Linked DNA regions of Sus scrofa. The protein of the gene in region 1 purifies or fractionates together with the protein of each later gene. This does not show direct contact. Links are inferred from orthologs where the notes say so. Each region holds a gene or a part of one and is shown in the gene's direction. Other genes may lie near its edges.

Region 1 (3,651 bases):
TACCTCTGTTACTGTTCTTGCAGCTGAATTACTAAGGGTAAGACTAAATGAGCAACTTCAGTCTTACTGGGGTTTTTAATTACTATGGTTTTGAGTATCGGAAGTCTTTTCCCACAAATTTACTGTTGATGCACCTTTTCCACTGTTTATTAACAGGAAGCAGAATCTTTAATTGCAAAAAAGATTCATCCACAGACCATTATTGCTGGTTGGAGAGAAGCCACCAAGGCAGCAAGACAGGCTCTGTTGAATTCTGCAGTTGACCATGGGTTGGTATACCAAAATAACTATTGTTTCAAACATTTACTGTTCTTTTCAAAATTTTCTCAAGGCAGGAAGTCTAGGGAACAGTGAAAAGCATACACCAACATGATCCTGTTTCTTAAAGGCCTGCCTTAACAACCAAAAAACCCATACTACCCCCAGAGTGACTACCCAGAGGTAGTCACTACTAAAGTTAAAGTTTGGATTTCCAGTTTTTTTGCATATATAATCACAATAAGCAAAATAAATAGTATCCTCATCTAGAGGGTTTTCTTAGCCTCTTTAACTTAGTTGAATAACAAGCATGTTTCTGGGTGTCAGTATCTCTGTAGTATTTCAGTAGAAGTATGCATTTGATGATGAACTTTGCTGTAATTTACCTATCTGTAATTGGAGATTTGTATTTTGATAATTTTTAGCTTTATAATGTTATGAACTTACTATTTTTTAAAGAATATACAATTTCTGGGTCCAAAGGTATGTATGTATTTAAAGGCATAGTTATTTACAAGTAATCCTCCAGAAAAAAATTTATTAATTTACAGTTCCACTAGCTGTATAATCCTCTTATGTTCTTGAATTTTTTGTTTGCTGAAAGTATATTGACAGACACGTGTCTGAATACATTTTGAAAAACAAAACAGTTGTTAACTTTGGAGAAGCATTTTAAGAATAGGCCTGAGGGGGGTTGTTTGTTTGTTTTTGCAGATCTGATGAAGTTAAATTCCGTCAAGATTTAATGAACATTGCAGGAACAACATTATCCTCAAAACTTCTCACTCACCACAAAGACCACTTCACTAAGTTAGCTGTAGAAGCTGTTCTCAGACTGAAAGGCTCTGGTAATCTGGAGGCAATTCATGTCATCAAGAAGCTCGGAGGAAGTCTGGCAGATTCCTATTTAGATGAAGGTATGTATGTTGAATATGCTCAAAGAAGTGTTAATCACATGTTGAAAGTGAAGTACTGACAAAATCCTCTTTTAGTTAATCAGGGCGAATGGTACTTTACAAAGCCAGAAAACTTGTCTTTTAGGACACAAATCATACTGCAACCAACCATTTTTGTCTTCTTAATCCATTTGTTACATTAACAACATGCTACTTCATCTTCTCATTCTACCTCAGTATTTCTTTGATAACCTCTAGGTTTTACTTTATACCATGAGTTAAGGTACAGTCTCTAATAAAGTGAAGTTGTAGTTTTCTCTTACTAGACGTCAGTTATTTTCAAATGGCACCTTTTTCAGGACTATGTGTGTTCTCCAGGAAGGGTCTGGGTAAATCATACTGTTTAGTTGGCGGGTGTTGAGGATATAGTTTCTGGTGTTCTTGAAGAGCAGTAAATGAGTCTTAGCAACTGCTGTTTCCTTAACAATAGTGTATGAATTTTTCAAAGCATCTTTTGTGTGTTTACTTCACAAAACAGTCTGTAGACAGTATAGGCATTTTCTTCTGTAGAGAAGGAAAAAGGAGTAAGTTGTACTTTACGGTTTCGGCTTTATCAGTGATTTGGAGTTGGGTTTTGTTGCATGTTGTGTCTCTTTCATGGGAGTACCATTCTTGAACACCTGCCCCATGTCATGCATTCTAATGGGAATTTTACTTAAAATCGCTTTTCTTTCTCATGTCAACATCCAGTGAGAATTAAGTTGAGCTGAATAGAGCAGTGAACCCAAGTTTATAATGATTTAATAAGGTAAAAGTTACATATGCATCTGAAAGAAACTTGGAGGGATAGGCATACCAAGTTTGTTTGATAGTTCCAAATTAGCAGAACCCTAGGCTGGTAACTTGCATCTCTACTGCTGGTGATAGTCCTGTTTATAGATGAGTAGGTAAGGCTGAATAGTTTGTTTTAAGGCTGCATACATTTCTGGTAAACAGCATGGTTCGGGCCAAGTTTGTCTGCTGTTCATGGCCTTTCATCCTGTGCATCTGAATCTTCACAGCTTGTTTCTTGTGTGTTGGTTTTAAGCTAAAGAAAGTGGACTTAATAGCTTTACATTGCAACCTACACACCTGCATATTATGAGACATATTCAAAAGTGCTCCATTTACTCTTTTTTTAAAAATTAATTTTTATTCAAGTATAGTTGCTAGGCAAAGGACACAGGTTCGATCACTGACCTTGCTCAGTGGGTTAAAGATCCAGCAGTGTCATGAGCTGTGTAGATTGCAGACCTGGTCAGTGTTGTTGTGGCATAGGTCAGCGGGTACATTTCGAATTCTACCCTTAGCCTTGGAACCTCCATGTGCCGCCCTAAAATGATAGAGTAATTTGAGCAAATACCTTAAAAGATTTATTAAAGACAGTCTTAAAGTATTTAATACAATGCTGTCCTTATATTATAGGCTTTCTGTTGGATAAAAAAATTGGAGTAAATCAACCAAAGCGAATTGAAAATGCTAAAATTCTTATTGCAAATACTGGTATGGATACAGATAAAATAAAGGTATGTTAACTACATTTCTAGGAATTCGAATTGCTAGCTGCTAAAAATTCAGGGGGGAATCAGTTGCACTAAAAAAGAAAGAATGTATATGACTGTACACATAGTTTGGGGTGTGTTTTACACTTAAGAGTTTAAATATGCCAAATATGCCATGAAACTTACAAGTAATGAAAATGATGCTGCTTTTTTATCCTTTGTCTTAGATATTTGGTTCCAGGGTGAGAGTTGATTCTACAGCAAAGGTTGCAGAAATAGAACATGCAGAAAAGGAAAAAATGAAGGAGAAAGTTGAACGTATTCTTAAGCATGGGATAAACTGCTTTATTAACAGGTCTGTGTGCTCATGCTAACAATGTTTGTAATCAAAAAAGGATTTTATTCTGCAATGATTTAGGGAAATACTTTCCTATTGAATTTAGTTGTTATTTAGAAAGTGTTGTTTTTCTCCAAATATAATTGTTCAGCAAGGCATTTGCATTACAGTGATTTTAGTGAAATTTTATGTTAATATACTTTGCTAATAAACTTTGTGTCAACAGTGACAAAAGTTTTCTGATTTGGCAGTTGTGTTATTAGTTTTGGTTATAATATTTGGAAGAGGGATTTAATTCACCATTAAATGATGGGAGTTTGAAGTAGCAAAAAGCTAATGATAGCTTAGGAGTAAAACAATGGAGAAGTGAAAAGTTTACAAACTGTTTAAATAGATGTCCTTTTTGCCCCTATTGTAAAAGTAACATGTGCTCATATGGGGAAATAAGAAAGTATAAAGAAGAAACAGGGTTCTCTCAGAATTTTTTATTTTATTAAGTTGGCGTTTATGTGTATAGTCTTCTAGTTTCAGTTCTTCACCTAGTTGTGATCATATGCTATAAACTTTTGTAATTTGCTTTTTTTACCTAACTGTGTGTGTGTATATATACAACCTAAAA
Region 2 (3,651 bases), about 53 Mb from region 1:
CCAAAACATTGATGTAATGTGCTCCTGATACATTTTTTTTTTTTCTTTTTACAGCTGCACCTGAGGCATATGGAAGTTCCCAGGCTAGGGGTCGAACTGGAGCTACAGCTCCTGGCCTACACCAGAGCCACAGCAATGCAGGATCAAGCTGCATCTGCAATCTACTTTGCAGTTTGCGGCAGTGCTGAATCCTTAACCTGCTGAGCGAGGCCAGGGATCGAACCTGCATTCTCATGGATTCTAGTCGGGTTCTCAACCCACTGAATCACAACAGGAACTCCCGTCATGCGCTTAGTTTTAAGTGTTGGATGAGACTTGAAAGTTAGCTCTAGGCTCTGTTAAATTTATTTTATTATTTTTTTAAGTTTTTTAATTTTTTTGTTTTTTAGGGCCACACCCTTGGCACATGGAGGCTCCCAGGCTAGGGGTCGAATCATAGCCGTAGCTGCCACTCTATGCCAGAGCCACAGCAATGCCAGATCCGAGTTGTGTCTGTGACCTATATCACAGCTCACGGCAATTCCGGATCCTTAGCCCACTAAGTGAGGCCAGGGATCGAACCCACAACCTCATGGTTCTTCGTCCGATTCGTTTCCTCTGAGCCACAACGGGAACTCCTGGGCTCTGTTATATTAATGAGACTTTTTTTTTTTAATAGCAAAAGCAGACATGTGTCAGTTTAAATTCAACATCTATGTATTTGGTAAGTGGAGGCCTGAATAACACAGTTAATATTTGGGATTTAAAATCAAAAAGAGTTCATCGATCTCTTAAGGTAAGCAACCTTTTTTTTCTTTTAATCCTTACAGAAATGGATATCCCACAATGTGTTTATTAGGACTGGTTATCAGACTTTTAATGTTAACTTTTTATGATAAAAATAAGCTTCTTCAGAATTGAAGTGAGATTTGTTAGGGAAAAGATGCTGTTTAGCTAAAAACTTAAGGTTTTTTGGTTTATCTTCCCCTCCATGTATGTCACTATATTGATATATTGCTGGTGTTTAAAACATTATTTTTTCCACTTTGTTCTACTCTTGTTCAAGTGAACCACTTCTTTCATTTAAAAAAAAAAAAGAAAGTGAAAGAAAAGGTTTGTTGTCAACCAGAAATCTTTTTAAGGCACTTTGAAAAAATTACAGTGGTTTTGGGATGACAGTCTTCAATCTAGCAATCAGAGTTGGGAATTTGGCTTCTTAATTCTTTACTACTGTTTGTATTATTTTTGTGTGTGTATATTTTTATCTTGATAATGAAATGTTTCTAAAATAATTTACTTTTTTTTTTTTTTTTGGTCTTTTTGACTTTTGGGGCCACACCTGTGGCACATGGAGTTTCCCAGAATAGGGGTCCAATTGGAACTGTAGCTACCAGCCTACGCTGGAGCCATAGCAACGCCAGATCCCAGGTGCGTCTGCGACCTACACCACAGCTCACAACGCTGGATCCTTAACCCACTGAGCAAGGCCAGGGATCGAACCCGCATCCTCGTGGATGCTGGTCAAGTTCGCTAACCACTGAGCCACAATGGCAACTCCAAAAATAATTAACTCTTTACAATCAGTGTTTCTTTAAATAGTTAGCTTTTTGCCGTTTCAGAAAATGAAAGTAAACATCATGGAAGCCTCTGGTTGTGACTTTTTTTTTTTGGACTTCTCTTTTTTATTATTGTGTCCTTTTAATATTTGGAAGTTCTTTAAAATTACTTTTAATTTTCGTGTCTTTTTAAAAAGTTAATATGCAAAATTTTAAACATATGTGTATGTGTGTGTATGAATACACACACACACACACACACACACACATACACACACACACACACACACACACGCCTATACACAGAGAAAGAACTTCCCTTAACCCGTTATCCGTGTGGTCATCACGATCAGTTTCGGTGATGAGCAGCTCTTGGCCAGTATTGTTTTCTTTGTGTGCTTATCCACGCTCATCCTCAGACTCTCAGAGCATTTTGAAGCGGATACCAGAGATCATTATCGTTTTGTTGTGTATCTTAATGTCACTGAGTTACTTGTTAGAGATAGAGTATATAGAAGAATGGTTTTCTCTTAGCTAAGTTGAAATAACGTCTATGATTGCTGTTTAAAATATTCCTTTTGGAAGTTCATTATTTTAAGTATTAGCTAAACTTTGAAGAGTCTTCAGGAAAATTAAAAAGTTGCCAATAACGAGCATACTTCACTTTTACTGCGTTCTTTGGTATTCCGGCCACTGTGCCTGTCATGTTTGTTCTGTGTATCTCAGTAGCCCTGCAGAGCAGGTAGTATTATTCGTGAGTACAAATGGAGACACTCAGGCTGAGGTGGTACAGAACTTGTTCAGTGTCCAGCAACTAGTAATGGCAGATGAGCTCCGCACGCAGATAATCTATTCATTGTGCAGTCTTGTCAGTTATGAAATAATTGAATTAAAGCTGTTTAGGGGGCTATACTGAGTCTAAATAGAGAATATCGTAAAGAATTGAGATCTGAAGTCTGTAGCCAGTTTTGTCACACAGTGTCACACATTTTAGGAGTGTCACTCATTCCCCTCCTCCTTACCACATGGCAAAATTCTACTCATTTTTCCATCCTAAGCTTTCTCAGTTACTCCAGATAGTTATTTTCTTCCCATCATTTGAAATTCTTAGAGGGCCACCTTCCTTCACGCATTGTTAACACGTGTGTGAGGTTACACAGGTTTCTTAACCTTGGTTAACGCGCCTATAAATTGGGGAAAGTGATTGTTATAAAGATTAATAGTAATATGTAAAATGCCTAACCTTAGCTGGTGCTCAGCAGATGGAAGCATCAAATCTCAACTGTGTCTGGCTCATTCTGGCTTCGAGGCTTTTGTTTTACACTCTTTTCCATTTTGCAGGGTCGGTTTCTTTCTCCTTCCCCTAATTTCCTGCTGAAGGTTGAACTCCAGCCTTGTGTCTTCCACAAAGCTTCCTCTGTCAGCTCTGGTCTTTCTCTTTCCTCTGACACTTTGTCTCTGCCACTCATTTAGCACTCATTCTGCCATTTGCATGTTCACTTAAATGTCCTGTCTTCTCACCTGTGTACTAATATTCTCCAAGGCCGGGACTTTCACAATAGTCAACTTGAAATAAATGTTACTTGTCAGTGGAAGTGAATCCTTTAAGGTAGGTAGAATGCCATTTAGAAAATTACCTTTCCTTTAGGTGTCTTGTTTCAGAGTGCCCAATCATTATTATGGTTATGAAATACAAATCTTTGTTCCCTGAAAAGATTTGATGTTGATCGGATAATTTACTACTCATTTGACTAATTTTTTTTTTAGATTATTTGAGGAAAATGTTAAAGCAGATATTAGATTGACAAATACATAGTATTTAACAAAACATACAATTTACAAAAACATGAAAATGTGCTCTTTGAAGGTTGTATAGCACTGTATTTACTTTCATTTCTTTCATTCAGGATCATAAAGATGAAGTAACTTGTGTAACATATAATTGGAATGATTGCTACATTGCTTCTGGATCTCTCAGTGGTGAAATTATTTTGCACAGTGTAACCACTAATTTATCTAGTACTCCTTTTGGCCATGGTAGTAACCAGGTACAGTATGGGTTTATTCAAAATAAAGTTGATAATATAGATTTTTAATTCTTGTGTAAGAGTGAATT

What was found.
Region 2: the proteins of CCT2 (region 1) and NEDD1 purify together in Homo sapiens (affinity purification with mass spectrometry; 4 studies listed by BioGRID and IntAct, with this or other methods). This does not show direct contact. The link is inferred for Sus scrofa from reciprocal best matches to the Homo sapiens genes CCT2 and NEDD1.

Annotation. Positions count from the first base shown.
Region 1 is NC_010447.5:33,861,455-33,865,105, forward strand, and holds part of CCT2 (T-complex protein 1 subunit beta), read left to right. Parts: coding exon 1-37; intron 38-156; coding exon 157-269; intron 270-972; coding exon 973-1,175; intron 1,176-2,618; coding exon 2,619-2,719; intron 2,720-2,922; coding exon 2,923-3,050; intron 3,051-3,651. UniProt on the Homo sapiens protein: Component of the chaperonin-containing T-complex (TRiC), a molecular chaperone complex that assists the folding of actin, tubulin and other proteins upon ATP hydrolysis.
Region 2 is NC_010447.5:86,727,223-86,730,873, reverse strand, and holds part of NEDD1 (protein NEDD1), read left to right. Parts: intron 1-658; coding exon 659-775; intron 776-3,442; coding exon 3,443-3,583; intron 3,584-3,651. UniProt on the Homo sapiens protein: Required for mitosis progression. Promotes the nucleation of microtubules from the spindle.